2 linked regions of the Anolis sagrei genome follow. The protein of the gene in region 1 interacts with the protein of each later gene in a pairwise test. Links are inferred from orthologs where the notes say so. Each region holds a gene or a part of one and is shown on either strand. Other genes may lie near its edges.

Evidence for each region.
Region 2: the proteins of POMP (region 1) and PSMB8 interact in a two-hybrid assay, tested with the Homo sapiens proteins (2 studies listed by BioGRID). The link is inferred for Anolis sagrei from reciprocal best matches to the Homo sapiens genes POMP and PSMB8.

Annotation. Positions count from the first base shown.
Region 1 is NC_090023.1:31,781,374-31,791,301, forward strand, and holds the start of POMP (proteasome maturation protein), read left to right. Parts: upstream 1-5,529; 5' UTR 5,530-5,636; coding exon 5,637-5,639; intron 5,640-9,928. UniProt on the Homo sapiens protein: Molecular chaperone essential for the assembly of standard proteasomes and immunoproteasomes. Degraded after completion of proteasome maturation. Mediates the association of 20S preproteasome with the endoplasmic reticulum.
Region 2 is NC_090022.1:6,650,724-6,660,002, forward strand, and holds the start of PSMB8 (proteasome subunit beta type-8), read right to left. Parts: upstream 3,719-9,279; 5' UTR 3,687-3,718; coding exon 3,537-3,686; intron 1,498-3,536; coding exon 1,350-1,497; intron 1-1,349. UniProt on the Homo sapiens protein: The proteasome is a multicatalytic proteinase complex which is characterized by its ability to cleave peptides with Arg, Phe, Tyr, Leu, and Glu adjacent to the leaving group at neutral or slightly basic pH.

The sequences.
Region 1 (9,928 bases):
GCTGTGAAACCTTATGAAGTGTTTGCCTGAGTTTACTCATGAAACCTTTCCAATGTAACCATCAAGATTTATGCCTCTTTTGAAGAACAGTTATACATTGTTATACTCCTGTTAAAATAAACTTGTTGCTGTTTTCCTCAAGCCTTGCCTGATACAGTTTCTTCTAAGTTGAACAGCCTGCAATAATAAAGTCAGCCAGAAACAGTCCCTTTATAAAATAGTTCCTAGGCTGATATTGATCGTTGCCCGGCTTCCCTCATAGATTAGGTGGCAGTGGGTGTTTTACCACGTGCACCTTCACAATTGGTGGTATTCGGTGGCATTAAAACGGTCATCGTTACAATTGGTGGCAGCAGTTTAATAACGACACTCCTTCACAGCGAGGATGAGGAAACTGCAATTTGGAAATGCCATTATTTATGTATACACCAATTTGGGTTTATAGAATTTGCTTAGAAAACATGCAGCTATTTGACTCTACACACCACTTCTTTGCCCTACCAATGCTCTGTTTTTGTATTTAATCCCAGATGTGTTGAGTTGGAAATTTATTTACAGTATTTGTATACTGCTTTTACCACCTCTGGGGGGACTCAAAGCGGTTTTCAAAGAAATTAGGGGCATTCAATTCAGTGGGACATTCTTCCAACTGAATATGATAGGATTACACCTCTAATTACAAATGTAGCTGAAACAAAAGGGCAAGTTAGGAGGGGACTATTTGTCAAAACATCTTATTCTATTTATGTCTAGAAATTTAATGTGGAAGTCTGCCTTTAAAAGCAAATGAGATCTTTACCACAACAATACATTCCTTTATGTTATATAGCCTAAACATAAGAGATGATGTCAATAATGTACGTGTGGCGATGGTGTCCTGTCTATATCCTATACCTACAAGGATGACTTTGAAATGTAAATGTTTCATATCCTGATCGACAAACTCAAACATTTAGTAAATAAATATATTCAGTGACAATCCTGATTTTTTTTTCAACACACTGCTGCTAAACAGGAACTTTATACTTTTCTTTCAAAAATAAAATAGAACGGGATAAACTTTTTAAAAAGTTAAGTTCCTGTGTAGTGGCACTGTCCAGAAGAAAAAAATGTATGAAATTATCAGCACTAAACCAAACTAACATATGACTATTTATTACTTATAGCTATACATTGTTGCAAACATAACAGGATACAAGATAACAGGATACAAGATGTGAATGCAGAATGGTACAATGACAGTTGGAATGGCCTTGGATTTTGATATTGAATTACGTGATTTTAATAACTGGATTTTAATGTTTGATACGTTTTTAGCAGTTTTTAATGTATATATTTATTTGCTCGATGTATGTTGTGTAGCATTGAATTGTGCCTTATATGTTAGGCGCTCTGAATCCCCTTTGGAGTGAGAAGGGTGGGATATAAATATAGCAAATAAATAAATAAATACACAAATAGCAAAATGAATGGCAAAAGTGTAAAAAACATTTCTTTTAAAAATACCAGTACATGTAAAAATGATACAAAATTATCCCTTCTCCATTCAACAAAACTTCTTTTAAAAGGCCCCATTTGCTGGGGTTAGGAACACAGGGCCCCTGTAAAAGTGAAAAACCACTGTTGTATTGGAGATACAACAAAGTACCATACAATGAACGCCTATGTCCTGTGAGGACGAGACAGTGGAAACTGTGAAGCACGTTTTGTTGTACTGCTCTTTTTACCGTGACCTTCGTAAACATTTTATAAATCCAATTCTAGAAAGTCTACCAGGGAGATCTGCAAGATTTTATACAGATTATCTCCTGTCTGACTAACACCCCAAGGTCACTGTCAGGATTGCTAGCTTCTGTGCAGCAGCTATGGCTTGTTGCCCCAAGATGCTGACACAGACTTAGAAAGTTTTAACATATATTTTATCATTCATATCTTAGTATTTGAATGTTTAACACCACTTTAATTACCATATTCAATATTGGGTTTTAAACTCTGTTTTAACATTGCTTCCTGATACCCGGATGTGTGTGTAACCTGATGCTTGTATACTTCTGTACTTGTGCTTGTACATGTGTGCGTACTCTGACACTTGCACACCCTGTCACTTGTACCTTTTTTATGCTGGTCATTGGCCGTAATAAATGTATATATATATATAACCACAAATAAAGCATTGCTTTTTTTTTAACCTGAGAGAATTCTTTTCTAGGAATGGCCAAATCTGCTGAAAACTGACCATAGAATTGCACTGAAGGATTGTTGTTGTTCATTCATTCAGTCGTCTCCGACTCTTCGTGACCTCATGGACCAGCCCACGCCAGAGCTCCCTGTCGGCCGTCACCACCCCCAGCTCCTTCAAGGTCAGTCCAGTCACTTCAAGGATGCCATCCATCCATCTTGCCCTTGGTTGGCCCCTCTTCCTTCCTGAAGGATATAATAATAATAATAATAATAATAATAATAATAATAGAAATCTCTGGGGCCCTATCTACGCTGCCATATAATGCAGATTGAAATGTTATATGGGCAGTGTTAACCCATATAACACAGTTAAAACTGACCATATGATGCAGTTTCAAACTGCATTATAAGGTAGTGTAGATGAGGCCCCTGTCTTCCAGCATGACTGGAAGTAATTGACCATAAAGTCACAATGGAGGAACTCGAGATTCTTAGAAAAACAAATCCATGAATAATCAAATTTGCAAATGTGGAAATGATTGTAATGTCAACTGTCATTCAGATTCTATTTGGTGCTATTGCAAAAGTTGTAGCATGGTAGGATCCTTGGCCCTTCTCCTCAGATAACATATAGAATACTATAACAGATCACTATATAAAATATAAAATAACAGCAGAGGAGATGCTCTTTAAAATAGGGATCTAATGGACAACACATTAAACTTTCTATAGAAACTTTCTATAGAAACTTTCTATAGAGCTTTTAAAGATGGCAATCAAATTATATGTCAAACTTCTCCATGCTTAAATTATCCATCTCTTCAATCCTTTTTCATGGGGCTTGGTTTCTAGACCTTTTACCATGAGGTCACGGAGAGTCAGAAGCATCTGAACAAATAAACAACAAATTAAATGTAAATGAAAAGTTCTCATGAGATATGATGAGTCTCCACACATTTTATTACAATTTATGTATGTATCTCTTATACATGGTTGGTTTAACCTCTGGGTTGTTAGTAGAACTGAATAACTGTGTCACAAAATGATGCATGTCTAAAAAGGTGTGCCACCAACGTGAAATGTTTAGAAAGCTCTGCTCTAAAGCTGCAAATGCTGCCAGAACCAGATAAAGTGTACCCAAGGATATCAAACGAACAAATAAATAATTATTTTCAGAGCATTTTTCTACCATCTTTGCAGAACTGAGGCAGACAAATATTTTTAGCATAAAAGCGAGGAGGGAGGAGGATCTGGTGAGCAACCCTCATCCATGTAATTCCAAGACCAGAAAAGACTCCAAAAGAAGTCATTAAATTGTCAAATTGTGAGTGCTTTCTCCTCGCAAACACCTGGCCCTTCCTTCTACTCTGACAATCCTTTTTGGCATTGTCGGTGGTGACCTTACAGAAGAAACAAGAGGCATGTCTTAAGTTGCTCATAAAACGTTCCAGTCCATGGGTGCTCATAAAGCCTTCTTAAGGCGCTTATATGAAATCATAAAAGGACAGGGCACCAATCCATAATATCACATTGCACATGATCATTATTACATTTGCGCATTTCCTACATGCCTTTTAAAGATAAATAAAATTGAGACATTTCTGAATTAGGAATTCCCAAACCATGTACTGGGTTAGTGAAAACGCTTGAGCACAGGCTGAAATTCTTTATATGGTAGCTGATTTTGACTTTTTTATTGTGTCTGAAGTGAATTGAGAATACAGTTGAAATGTATAAAAAAATACAAATAAAGTTAAAAACTTGGCATTATACTGTATTTTCTTTGACCAGAAGCTGGCCGCTTTTGAGTGCCTCTGATGTTGCTGTAAGGGGTTCCTCCATTGTGCATGTTGCAGGGCTCAGACTGCATTGTAGTAAATCTGTGGTTTGCTCTTTTCCACACTCACATGTCATGGACTCCACTTTGTGGCCCCATTTCTTAAGGTTGGCTCTGTATCTCGTGGTGCCAGAGCACAGTCTGTTCAGCACCTTCCAAGTAACCCAGTCTTCTATGTGCCCATATTTCTCATTTGGTATCAGCCACTGATTGAGGCTCCAGGTTTTAGCCTGCCATTTTGGGACTTTCGCTTGCTGAGGTGTTCCTGGGAATATCCCTGTAGATCTTAGGAAGCTATTTCTTCCTGCACCTGTACCTTGAGACACCTGACTTGGCCAATGGTAGTCCACACCTCAGTCACATCCCATTCGGACTACTGCAACACTCTCTTTGTGGGGCTGCCTTTGAAGATAGTTTGGAAGCTTCAGCTGGTCCAGAAATTGGCAGCCAGGTTACTACTTGGAGCATCGTTCAGGGAGAAACCAACTCCCATGCTGTGGCAGCTCAATTGCCTGCTGGTTTTCTTCTGGGCTTTTTGTGTGTGTGTGTGTGTCAGGAGCGACTTGAGAAAATGCATTCATTGATGTGCTGGCTTATATCCAAACAGGGGATGAGCTGGAGATGTCACTGCTTTGGTCCCTTCACTATTGATTGCTACTTCCCGGCGGATGTCAGGTGGGTGAGGTGAGGTGCCAACATTTGGCAGGGAAGATTAAAGACCTTGGAACTCTTCAATTCCATTTTTTTTGTCGTGTCAGGAGCGACCTGAGAAACTGCAAGTCACTTCTGGTGTGAGAGAATTGGCCGTCTTCAAGGACATTGCCCAGAGGATGCCCAGATGATTTTGATGTTTTATCATCTTTGTGGGAGGCTTCTCTCATGTCCCTGCATGAGGAGCTGGAGCTGATAGTGGGAGCTCATCCGCCTCTCCCTGGATTTGAACCTGCGACCTGTCGGTCTTCAGTCCTGCCGGCACAGGGTTTTAACCCACTGCGCCACCGGGGGCTCCTTCAATTCCAATGGCAGTCACAGTGATGTCGGACTGCATGGATTTCACAGTCAATGACATGAAGTAGGAAAAGAAAGAAAAGAAAGGAGATTCAATCTGAACATGAGGAAGAATTTCCTGACTGTGAGAGCTGTTCAGCAGTGGAACTCTCTGCCCAGGAGCTTCTTTGGAAGCTTTTAAACAGAGGCTGGATGGCCATCTGTCAGGGGTGCTTTGAATGCAATATTCCTGCTTCTTGGCAGAAGGGGGCTGGACTGGGTGGCCCATGAGGTCTCTTCCAACTCTTTGATTCTAAGAGCTCTAAAACTTTTGCAGCAAAGCTCTGCTCTCCACCCCTCCACCCTCCTTCCCTTTTTCAGATCAGGGTCCCCCAAGTGCGCAGGCGCACGACGCCTCCAAGCCCCGCCCCCCTGCCTCTCGCGCGCACAGAAGGAGAAAGCGGGCTCTTCGTTTTCTTTTGCCCGAATCCTTGTCACGTGATACTCTCACTCACTCACTCTCTCTCTCTCTCCCTATGCGCGCGGGAGGGGCGTGCTTACGTCACCGCGCCTCTTCCCATCGCTCCTCGCAGCCGGAAGGAAGTCCTTGGTGCCTAGTGACTGTGCAAAGATGGTAAGCGGAGGGGCTGGAAGAGGGGTGAGAGTGAGTCCACATAAATACACCTGTGAGGGGAGGGGGCCTGCAAAGGAGGTGGGTGGGGTGAAGCCCCAATCGAGGGAAATGTGGGCATTCCGCCGGAGATGGTTTCTTTTTCGCCCCGGAGACATGGCCGGTCCTGGTTCGCCTCCAGTGGTTCTCAACCTGGGGTCCCCAGATATTTTTGGCCTACAATTCCCAGAAATCCCAGCCAGTTTAGCAGCTGTTAGGATTTCTAGAAGTTGAAGGCCAAAAACATCTGGGGACCCCAGGTTGAGAACCACTGGGTGGAGCATCCCTTCTTCGAAATGCTCGGGCCCACAAGTGTTTGGGATTTGAGGGTTTTTAAAATGAATTTTGGAAGGTTCTCAAATATAGTCATGAGATATCTCTGAGGTACAGTGAGGTCGCCGTCTAAATGAGAATTTATTTATTTACCACATTTATATACCGCCTTTCTCAGCCCGACGATGACTCCAGGCGGTTTACAGTCGGCAATCAATGCCCCCAACAACATAAAATATAATTAAAAACATTAACATATAACATAAGCCATATAAAAACAGTAGAAACAATAAAAACAATAACAATAATTAAACAATTAATTTTTTTTTGTCGCGTCAGGAGTGATTCCTGGTGTGAGAGAATTGGCCGTCTGCAAGGACATTGCCCAGGGGACGCCTGGATGATTTTTGATGTTTTTATCATCCTTGTGGGAGGCTTCCCTCATGCCCCCGCATGAGGAGCTGGAGCTGATAGAGGGAGCTCATCCGCCTCTCCCCGGATTCGAACCTGCGACCTGTCGGTCTTCAGTCCTGCCGGCACCCAGGTTTAACCCACTGTGCCACCAGGGGCTCCATAAACAATTAAATAAACATTTAAACAATTAAATTAATTGCTTCAAACAATTAAATTAAACAATTAAACAATAACAAGAATTAATGCATTTCCAACCTCACTTTAACTGCCATGGCTCCAAGATATCGAACCATGGGAGTTGTAGTTTTATAAGCTTTCCAGCCTTTTCTGCCAAAAAAAGTATTGGCGCCTCAGCAGACTACAAATCCCAGGATTCCGTGGCATTGAGCTCTGACAATTAAAGTGGTACCAAACTGCATTCATTCCACAGTGTAGGTCAGGCATGGGCCAACTTGAGCCCTCCAGGTGTTTTGGACTTCAACTTCCACAATTCCTAACAATCCCAGCCCCCTTCCTTTTCCCCCTCAGGCCCCATTCTTTTCCTTTTATGATATGCAGGATGGACACAGCATATTATTCGAGAACACAGAAATGCTGGATCACTCGAACAATCACCATGTCAGACTACACAGAGAAACCATTGAAATCCACAAGCATGTGGATTTCAACAGAAAGGAGGAAACCATGAAAAGGAACAAAATCTGGCTACCAGTATTAAAAAAAACTCTAAAATTAGAACAGCACAACAACAGAGAGGAAACAAACAAGGACATCTAATCACCTCTCAACAAAAGATTGCTCCAGGCACTGCCAGGCAATCAAATGCTAATCAAGGTGGTCAGTTGAAACATTCACACCTAGCTCCAGCAGACAAGAGTCCTTTGTCTCACCCTGGTCATTCCACAGATATATAAACCCTTTTTCCTAGTTCTAACAGACCTCACTACCTCTGAGGATGCTTGCCATAGATGCAGGTGAAACGTCAGGAGAAATGCCTCTAGAACATGGCCATGTAGCCCGAAAAAACATACAACAACCCTATGCAGGATGTGTTTTCATTCACTGGATCACTTAAGTGGCTGAGGGGGAAATGGAAAGGGCCTGAGGCTGTTAGGAATCGTGGAAATTGAAGTCTAAACCACCTGGAGGGAGGGTCCAAGTTGGCCCAGGCCTGATCTTAAGTGGCTGAGGGGGAAAAGGAAGGGGCCTGAGGCTGTTAGGAATTGTGGGAGTTGAAGTCCAAAACACCTGGAGGGCCCAAGTTGGCCCACGCCTGGTGTAGCAGCACCCTGAGAATGGGACACATGTCTAAACGAGACATCTATTTGAAACAAGAAGGAAAATCAATTGCTTCCAATGTAGAGGCTGGGGAAGGAGGAAGGTAAGGTTTCAAATAATAACAATAAACTTTATTTGTATCCCGCCCTATGGCCCCAATGGGGACTTACGGCTGTTCACAACATAAAATGACAGTATTCAAATGCCGTGTAATACAACTAATCAATAAATATGACATGACATAAATTTAAAATGACATAGTAAATCTTAACGTAAGCAATAACAAGACATTACCACCTAATTAAACAAAAACTAACAATACAATGTAACTCAACTAATACAAGACAAAAAGTTCTCAAATTGATAAAAATGTTAAAAGACGTTATAAATTCAAAAGGATATAAACCCAAAGGAGCAGTCATTTCCATGTTCTGAGCTCATTTATAATGCTGAATATTTAATTTGTCCTTCTCCTTATGTGCTTGCAAACATAATGATAAAAGTAAAGGTTTCCCTTGACATTAAGTGTAGTCATGTCTGACTCTGGGGGTGGTGTTCATCTCCATTTCTAAGCTGAAGAGCCAGCATTGTCTGTAGACGCCTCCAAGGTCATGTGGCTGGCATGACTGCATGAAGCACTGTTACCTTCACACTGAAGTGGTACTTATTGATCTACTCACATTTACATGTTTTCGAACTGCTAGGTTGGCAGAAACTGGGGCTAACAGTGTGAGCTCACCCTGCTTCCCAGATTCAAACTGCCGACCTTTCGGTCAGCAAGTTCATAGCTCAGCCATTTAACCTGCTGTGCCACTGGAGGCAGAAACGTTATTGATTGTTTTACTACACTTAGCTTAAAGATGACCTTAGACACGTTTTAAAATTTTTGAGAATGAAATGAAGTGTGTGTACATTAAACCATGTGAAAGCAAAGGCGTCACTTACTATCCCAGATCACCCCTATGGATAATTTCCGATTTTGGATGACCAGATAAGGGATGCTCAAACTGCAATTCATTCAGCCACAATGCATAGTACACAATTCTGCTCTTTATCTTCCTTCTTCACCAGTCTTTACATTTGCAAAAATTGATTTCCCTTTGTTTCAGTTCATACCGTCTTTTGAGCCATGCCATGTGTGAAGTTGGAGATAAGAGCGCATCTTGTGGATATTTATTTTATGATCATATTTCTCATTGAGTTGTACCTTGTCAAAAAGCAATCTGTGACTTGGGGGAGTAAGGGTCTGCCTTAACTGCTCCTTGCAATGTCACTGTAGTACTCTTTTTTTCTTTTTCTTTTTAAAAGGTTATGAGGTTTTCCTTCTTCTAGTTATGTTTTCTTCTGAAAAATATTATCAATATTCAAAATATGTGTGTATATGTATGTGTACATTTGTGTGTGTGTGCATATAATTTATATGAGATCTATATGCATATTTTCTGGAAAACTGCCCCAGAAAATTTATTTCATCAATTTTAAAGCTTATGTAGGCTGGGCTGTAAGAATTGACTACTGTTCTGGTAGTTTGGTGAGGTGTCTGTGCCCTTTATAAACATTATAGTGTAAAGAAATGTGGTTGATAAATAGTGGAAGGTATTTCATCTCTATTCTAGAAACATAGTTAAGTTTCTCTGCAGTTCTTCCTGACATGGAGATAAGAGCACAATTCAAGGTGCTGGCTTTAGCCTACAAAGCCCTAAACGGTTCTGGCCCCACTTACCTCTCTGAACGCATCTCCACCTATGAACCGACCAGAACATTAAGATCGTCTGGGGAGGCCCTGCTCTCGGTCCCGCCTGCATCGCAGGCGCGTTTGGTGGGGACGAGAGACAGGGCCTTCTCAGTGGTGGCCCCTCGGCTATGGAATGCCTTACCAGCAGACATCAGGCAGGCACCTTTGTTGCTGGCGTTTCGGAGAAAGGTCAAGACTTGGCTTTATGAACAAGCGTTTGGTTAAACAGTGCAACTGAACATAGGAAGACGGTAAATGGAACATAGGAATGGCACAAGGATTATGAGAACGGATCTGATTTTACGGAGGCGATGTTTGATTTGTTATTGTTGTTGATTGATGCTATTGATTTTGTTGTGTAATTGTTGTGTTTTAATTGCATGTAAACCGCATTGAGTCGCCTATATAGGCTGAAAAATGCGGTATACAAATAAAGCAAATAAATAAATAAATAAATAAATAAATAAATAAGAGTTAGAAACGGCTTCATGGACTTTTCTGAAAAATGGGCTTTTGACAAGTAGCCAGGCTTTTGACAAGTAGCCAATTTCTT
Region 2 (9,279 bases), on another chromosome or scaffold:
TAAAGACAATTTGTTCAGACCCAGTGCGTGACAGAACAGTCACCCTTTGGGGGACCCAAAGAATAATAGAATCCTAGAGTTGGAAGAGACCTGGTGGGCCATCCAGTCCAACCCCCTGCCAAGAAGCAGGAAAAGCACATTCAAAGCACCCCTGGCAGACGGCCGTCCTATGAAATGACTGCAAAAGTTAGTACCTTTATACTAAACTTCCTCTAGTGCTACACAGGCGGCATTCAAGTTTTCCCATAGGACAAAAGGGCCAGAGGATTGGACTGCGTGACCCTTGCGGTCCTTTCCAACTCTATGATTCTGTGACTTCTGCTGCGTCATAGGACATGCTGTCCATTTGGATACGTCAGGACCAATGCACAGAAACCATGCTGCTGGCTCTCCTTGGGCCATATAGTAACTAAGTTCCATTTCATAGAATCATAGAATCCTAGAGTTGGAAGAGACCTCATGGGCCATCCAGTCCAACCCCATTCTGCCAAGAAGCAGGAATATTGCATTCAAAGCACCCCTGACGGCCATCCAGCCTCTGTTTAAAAGCTTCCAAAGAAGGAGCCTCCACCACTCTCTAAGGCAGAAAGTTCCACTGCTGAACGGCTCTCACAGTCAGGAAGTTCTTCCTCATGTTCAGGTGGAATCTCCTCTCTTGTAGTTTGCGTCCTAGTCTCCAGGGCAGCAGAAAACCAGCTTGCTCCCTCCTCCCTGTGGCTTCCTCTCACATATTTATACATGGCTATCATATCTCCTCTCATCCTTCTCTTCTTCAGGCTAAACATGCCCAGCTCCTTAAGCCGCTCCTCATAGGGCTTGTTCTCAGACCCTTTATCATTTGAGTCGCCTTCCTCTGGACACATTCCAGCTTGTCAATATCTCTCTTCAATTGTGGTGCCTAGAACTGGACACAATATTCCAGGTGTGGTCTAACCAAAGCGGAATAGAGCATGGAGAGCATGACTTCTCTAGATCTAGACACTATGCTCCTATTGATGCAATTTCCTTCTGAAACACCGAGCAAAGACACAATCCAACTCACATTGTTGTGTGCCTTCAAGTTGTTTCCAACACATGGAGACCCTGAGGTGGTTTCCTGGGGCTGAAAATGTGGGACTTGCACAGAGTTCACCCAGAGCAGGGATTCTGAACCAAGTCTCCAGAGCTGTAATCCAAGACTCAAACCGCCATGTCACACTGGCTTTATGCCCAACTTTATGCACTTGCAGTTAAATTTATGGTGCTGTAACGCGCCAACAAGGTGCCAGCTGAAATAAAGAAAGTCATAATCTTCCCCCTTTCTAAAACCCACCCACACTTTCTCCTCCATGGTCCACAGAAGCACTCACAGATGTATTTGCCGGCCGATGCCCGAGAGTCGGTGGCTACAATCACTCCATGTTGGAACGTAAAGGCCAGGGTGGTGGTCCCGTGGGCCAGCTCGATCCGGTGCCCATCAGCACTGCCTTCGCAGTGGGTCTGCAAGAACTCTGAAGGCTAAGAGAAAAGGAGAACTTTGTCAAAGGCTTTCATGGCCAGAATCACTGGGCTGTTGTAGGTTTTTTCGGGCTATATGGCCATGTTCTAGAGCAGTGGTTCTCAACCTGGGGGTCGGGACCCCTGGAGGGACCGTGAGGGAGTGTCGGAGGGGTCGCCAAAGACCATCACAGACAGTATTTTCTGTTGGTCATGGGAATTCTGTGTGGGAAGTTTGGCCTAATTCTATCATAGGTGGGCTTCAGAATGCTCTTTGGTTGTAGGTGAACTATAAATCCCAGCAACTACAACTTCCAAATGTCAAGGTCTATTTTCCCCAAACTCCACCAGTGTTTACATTTGGGCATATTGAATATTCGTGCCAAGTTTGATACAGATCCATCATTGTTTGAGTCCGTAGTGCTCTCTGCATGTAGGCGAACTACAACTCCAAAACTCAAGGTCAATGCCCACCAAATCCTTCCAGTATTTTCAGTTGGTCATGGGAGTTCTGTATGCCAAGTTTGGGCCAACTCCATCATTGGTAGAGTTCAGAATGCTCTTTGAATGTAGGTGAACTATACATCCCAGCAACTACAACTCCCAAATGACAAAATCAATCCTCCCATCCAAAAAGGTAAAGGTAAAGGTAGTCCCCTGACATTAAGTCCAGTCATGTCTGACTCTGGGGTGTGGTGCTCATCTCCATTTCTAAGCCGAAGAGCCGGCGTTGTCCGTAGACACCTCCAAGGTCATGTGGCCGGCATGACTGCATGGAGCGCCGTTATTCTTCCCACTGGAGCGGTACCTATTGATCTACTCACATTTGCATGTTTTCGAACTCCCATCCCAACCCCACCAGTATTCAAATTTGGGCATATTAGGTATTTGTGCCAAATTTGGTCCAGTGAATGAGAATACGTCCTGCATATCAGATATTTACATAACGATTCATAACAGTAGCAAAATTACAATTAGGAAGTAGCAATGAAAATAATTTAATGGCTGGGGGGTCACCACAACATGAGGAACTGTATTAAGGGGCCGTGGCATTAGGAACGTTGAGAACCACTGTTCTAGAGGCATTCTCTCCTGACATTTCGCCTGCATCTACGGCAAGCATCCTCAGAGGTAGGTCACTAACAAGCCACCCCAAACAACTGCTAGGGCATCAAATGCTAATCAAGGTGGTCAGTTGAAACATTCACACCTGGCTCCAACAGGCAAGAGTTCTTTGTCCCACCCTGGTCATTCCACAGATATATAAACCCAATTTTCCTACTTCCAACATACCTCCCTACCTCTGAGGATGCTTGCCACAGATGCGGGCGAAACGTCAGGAGAGAATGCCTCTAGAACATGGCCATATAGCCCAGAAAAACCTACAACAACCCAAAAGGAGAGCAGGTGCTTAGCACACCTCCCTTTGCGACTTGTCCATCTGCTTCAATGGCTTCTTTGTGTAGCCTGCCATGGTGGTTGTGAGAGTGGTGCAGCATTTCGGGACCAGGCTGTTAGGAATTGAGGGGGTTGAAGTCCAAAACTCCCTAGAATCATAGAATCAAAGAGTTGGAAGAGACCTCCTGGGCCATCCAGTCCAACCCCATTCTGCCAAGAAGCAGGAATATTGCATTCAAATCACCCTTGACAGATGGCCATCCAGCCTCTGTTTAAAAGCTTCCAAAGAAGGAGCCTCCACCACACTCCGGGGCAGAGAGTTCCACTGCTGAACGGCTCTCACAGTCAGGAAGTTCTTCCTCGTGTTCAGATGGAATCTCCTCTCTTGTAGTTTGAAGCCATTGCTCCATTGCGTCCTAGTCTCCCTGGAGGGAGGGTCGAAGTTGACCCATGCCTGTGTAGATGCCCCTTGAGCTGTGTTTAGGAAAGGGAAAGCCCTGAAGTTCACACCCCCACCAAACTAAAACCCTTCCCTCCTGGCTCCCGGGTTCTAAAGGCAGTGGGCTTCCAAGGCAGCACTCTGCACGCGCTCAGAGGCTCCCTCCCTTCAAAGGTCGAGCTCGGATCAGGCTCCCGACACCTTCCCCTCCTTCCTTCCTTACCTGCCTCCCGAGCGGCACAGCGATGCGAGGTTCTCGCAACCCGAAGGCGAAGTGCCCGGCCTCGTTGGGGGAGACCCGAAGGTGTTCCCGGGGGTCCCAGTCCCAAGCCTTGGAGGGCAAGGGCGCGCCGCACACCTCCTGCAGCGCCATCGCCCACGCGCGACTGAGTTCTCCTCTCTCCGCTCCCGAGAAAGTGAAAGCAAAAGCGAAAGGAGGTTTGGAAGGAAGGGAGGGAAGAGGAAAGAGAGGGGGTCTCAGGATGTAGGAGGAAGCCTTCCAACCTCCGTTGCGTCCCAGGTCCCAAGATCTCTCAGGGTGGATCTGGGAGCGAAAGCTCTCCACTCCAAAGCAACTTGAGTCCCAAAATCTTTCTGCCTTGCAGCTTCAAAGCCTGACTGTTGGGAGTGTTAGCTGGCCCTGATTGTTTCAGGTCTGGCCTAACACTTCCCAACAAAGGATTCCCCACAGGCAGGAAGCAGCCAGGCTTTGAAGCTGCAAGGCCATTCAGTGCTTATCAAAGCAGCCAATTGCAACATTCATACAAGAGTTCTTTCTCCCACCCTGGACATTATTCCACAGATGTATAAACCCCACTTGGCTAATTTCCAACAGACCTCACAACCTCTGAACAGGGGCGGCTCGTCCATTACGCGAAGTAAGCCGTCGCAGAACACTTTTTTTTTTGCCAGGGGCGCCGAGGCACCTCTGTAAATGCCCCTCGACTGCCACTTGAGGAGCGCTCCCTCAGCTCACAACAGCCCTAGCAGTCCGGGGGGAGTCTCGGCTTTCTTGCCTCGCTGCCGGGCGATCCTCTTCCCAAAGGGGCCGGGCCCTTGAGCCTTGCCTAGCCCCTCTCATTCCTGCTCCACCCGGCCACCGGGTGCGCGAGCAGAGCCGGTGCTCAATCGTTCTCCGCGTTCGATCCCTTCCCCATGACGGATCCCTTTCCCGATCCCCCAGCGCTCCACCCGCCTCCCCTCCTCTCCCCAATCCGCGGGTGGGCCAAGGGGCGGAGCCACCGCGCCTGGCCCGCTTCGGGTCCAGAGGTGTGTCTGAAGACCCCAGCGTGCGCACCAAAAGTCGCCTCTTCTCCTGACTTTCTCTTCAGCCATTGGGACCAAGAGAGAGAGATAGAGAGAGAGAGAGAGAGAGAGAGAGAGAGAGAGAGAGCCCCTCCGGCTGGAGGTATCTCCCACCTCCGCTCCCTCTTTTGTTTTTGTGCCTACCTTCAGGAAAGGTGGGCACCTCCACCTCTCTCTCTCTGGGTCCCAATGGCTGAGGAGAAAGTCAGGAGAAGAGGTGACTTTTGGTGCACACGCCGGGGTCTTCAGGCATGCCTCTGGACCCAAAGCGGGTCAGGCAAGGGAGTAAGTGCGGCAAGTGTAGTTACTGGGATGTATAGTTCACCTATAATCAAGGAGCATTCTGAACTCCACCAATGATGGAATTGAACCAAATATGGCACACAGAACTCCCACGACAAACAGAAAATATATAGCAATGATTGGTTAGGGGGGAGGGAGCCAAAATACTGTTTGCTTACCGTTGAAAATTACTTAGGGCCGCCTCTGGACGCGAAACAATGGCTTCAAATTACAAGAAAGGGGATTCCATCTGAACATGAGGAAGAGCTTCCTGACTGTGAGAGCCGTTCAGCAGTGGAACTCTCTGCCCCAGAGTGTGGTGGAGGCTCCTTCTTTGGAAGCTTTTAAACAGAGGCTGGATGGCCATCTGTCAGGGGTGCTTTGAATGCAATATTCCTGCTTCTTGACAGAATGGGGTTGGACTGGATGGCCCATGAGGTCTCTTCCAACTCTTTGATTCTATGATTCTATAATTATACACATGAAACAAAGGTGGTCTGGACTGAAAGCAAAAGTCTCCCCACCGCAGACACTTCTAGTGACACTTTTGCATTCTGGACTATTTCAGAATTCTGAATAAGGGATGTTCAACCTATAGTCACATAATTTTAATCATCACAGTTATACCTATTGGTCCATGCTATCAGGGTGTCCATGCTATCAAGAGAGGAGATTCCATCTGAACATGAGGAAGAACTTCCTGACTGTGAGAGCCGTTCAGCAGTGGAACTCTCTGCCCCGGAGTGTGGTGGAGGCTCCTTCTTTGGAAGCTTTTAAACAGAGGCTGGATGGCCATCTGTCAGGGGTGATTTGAATGCAATATTCCTGCTTCTTGGCAGGGGGTTGGACTGGATGGCCCATGAGGTCTCTTCCAACTCTTTGATTCTATGATTCTATGATTCTATAAGCTACTGTTCAGTAATTCAGTTGTTTTTGTGCCTCTCTGGCTTCTCATGGTTTCTTTTTCAGGGGACCAAGAGTGTATGAATCACCCAAGGTTCACTCAGGGGCTTTCCGTAACCGAGCAGAGAATCTAGTTCTGGTATTCAGAGTTCAGTGACCAAACCACAAAGTCACACGGCTTCTCTTGTTTTTCTTACTCCATATTTAACCATTTATTATGTAAAATTGTATTAGTAATTTCAACAGGGCATCATCATGCCGCAGCAATGAATTTAACAATAACATTAGTTTTGTAATAATGTTTATTGTTTTGCCATTGGTACTTGTGACGGGCCGTCAAGTCATCTTCGCCTTCAACCCTCTGAATGCGAGACTTCAAGATCCGGTTTTGCAAACTGCCATAGCTTCCTGTTCACAATATGCAAAGAGTCATGACTTCCTGGATTGAACCTCTCCATCGGCATCTTGACAAAGTACAGATCTAACATTATCAGCTCCTCTTTACCTACCTCCTAAAGCAGCATTTCTCAATCTGGGGGTTGGGACCACTGAGGGGTCGTGAGGGAGCTTTCAGAGGGGTTGCCAAAGACCATCAGAAAACATATATTTCTGGTAGTCTTAGGAACTCCTTTGGCAGAGAAGGCTGAAGAGATCTCTGCCTGTCCTTCTCTTCCCTTTTGGAAACTGATGGCGAATTCTCCCTCCGAAAGCCCTCCTCCGCTGTGATTGGCCAGCCTCTCTGCCTGAGACTCCAAACAGGGAGGGGAGAGCAGAAATACTTGATGCATGGCAGCGTGGTGCACTTGTGTGGGGTGAGGGAGAGCGGGTGGGGCTGGAGGGAGGCTCATGCTAGCGAGTCCCTTCAAAAGATCGGAATTCTGTGTGGGAAATTTGGCCCAATTCTATCATTGGTGGGGTTCGGAATGCTCTTTAACTTCAGTTCCCAAATGTCAAGGTCTATTTTTCCCCCAAACTCCACCAATGCTTACATTTGGGCATGTTGAGTATTTGTGCTAATTTGGTCCAGATCCATCATTGTTTGAGTCCACAGTGCTCTCTGGATGTAGGTGAACTAAGCCAAGGGAGTGGATGTTTCTGAGACTCCAAGCAGGGAGGGGAGAGCAAGCATGCTTGGCACATGGCAACATGGCGTGCATGTGCAGGCTAGGGAGAGCATGCGAGGCTGGAGGGAGGTTCAGGCCAGCAAGTCCCTTCAAGGCAATGGGGTTTTATGTGGGAAATTTGGCCCAATTCTATTGTTGATGAGGTTCAGAATGCTCTTTGATTGTAGGTGAACTATAAACTATAGCACCGGGATTGTGGCGCAGCTGGCTGAGTTTCAGCTGCATTAAGATCACTCTAACCAAAAGATCATGAGTTCGAAGGCAGCCCGGGTTGGAGTGGGTTTCCAACCAATTGTGTAGCCTGTTGTCGACCTTTGCAACCCGAAAGACAGTTGCATCTGTCAAGTAGGAAAATTAGGTACCACCTTAAAGTGTGGGGAGGCCAAATTAACTCATTTATGAGGCCATAAAAAAGACTCCAGCAAAGCACTCCAGCAACTATAAATCCCAGCAACTTCAATTCCCAAATATCAAGATCTATTTGCCCCAAACTACACCAGTGTTCCCATTTGGGCATGTTGAGTATTCATGCCAAGTTTGGTCCAGATCCATCATTGTTTGAGTCCACAGTGCTCTCTGGATGTAGGCGAACTACAACTCCCAAACTCAAGGTCAATGCCCATGAAACCCTTCCAGTATTTTCTGTTGGTCATGGGAGTTCTGTGTGCCTTCCATCATTGGTAGAGTTCACAATGCTCTTTGATTGTAGGTGAACTATAAATCCCAGCAACTATAACTCCCAAACGACAAAATCAATACCCCTCCCCACAACCCCACCAGCATTCAAATTTGGGTGTATCGGGCATTTTGCCAAATTTGGCCCAGTGAATGAAAATGCATCCTGCATATCAGATATTTACATTACGATCCATGACAGTACCAAATTGACAGTTATGAAATAGCAACAAAAATAATGTTATGGTTGGGGTCACCACAACATGAGGAATTGTATTAAGGGGTCCCGGCATTAGGCAGGTTGAGAACCACTGGTGTAGTGGTTTGAGCTAGGACTATGACTCTGGAGACCAGGACTTGCATTCTTGGTCAGCCTTTGGTCCCAATTTCTCAGTCTCAGAAATCTTGCCAGGAAACCCTTCTTGTGATGGGTTCACCTTAGAGTCAACATATGTCAGAAATAACACAAAAGCACACAACCACCAAGTCAGCTTGATTCTTGTGGCTCCCAAGGTGGAAAATCTCACTCAAGCCACCCTGGCTATAAAAATTAATGTAGTGTGCATAACCAATAACTTCCTGCTGTTTGACGTCACCCATAATGTGTTCCCTGGGATACGGCTGCCCTTTGCTCTCTGTCACGGCAACCTTGCAATATTCAAGGAAGAGCAGCTCAATAAGAATCAGGAAGTGTTGTCACTTTTGTAATTTTGTGTCAAAAGCATAAATAAGTATAAAACTGATAAAAATAGAAGGAGCACAAGCGGCTAAATAATTTTAGACCAAAAATGGGCAACAGCAACCACACTGTCTGTAGCTGTAAACAATTCTTCCTCTGTGCATGAGGCAGGGCATTATGGGCAAGCACACATATGCATAGTGGTTTGTTCTGCTCTACAGTCACACAAGGTGGAGGATTCTTCTCTATCTTCTTGGAACTGGACCAACCACTTAATCGAGTTCCTCCTGTTGTGGTGACCCCCAACCATAACAATATTTCCGTTGCTACTTCATAACTGTCATTTTGCTACTGTTATGAATTAACATGTAAAAATATCTGATATGCAGGATGTATTTTCATTCACTGGAACAAATTTGGCAGAAATACCCGATACCCTCAAATTTGAATACAGGTGCGTTTAGGGGACATTGATTTTGTAATTTGGGAGTTGTGGTTGCTGGGATTTATAGTTCACCTACAATCAAAGAGCATTGTGCTGTCAAGCGCTGGGCCTATAGCAGTTGGCTTTTGAACAGGACGTGCTCTTTGTGCCCAGCAGGAAGCCAGGGTGCCTCGACTGAGAGGCCCTAAGGATTTTCCTATATAGAGTCTTTAGAACCTTGAAAGGTTAAACAAAGTCCTTTACTATTACTTAAGCCTTCAACAAACAATCAAATACTTATTAGATCTTCAACAAATTAAACAAATGCTTCAAGGCTTTGAATCAACTGGCGGCTTTCTTAATCTTGTCCACAAGGGACAAGCTCCAGCCCAGCGTACCTGTCCGAATGTATCTCTTTCTATGTCCCATCTCGGAGTTTAAGATCTTCTGGGGAGGCCCTGCTCTCAGCCCCGCCTTTATCACAAGTGAGGCTGGTGGGGACAAGGGACAGGGCCTTCTCAGTGGTGGCCCCTTGCCTATGGAATTCACTCCCCGGGGAAATTAGGTCATCAAC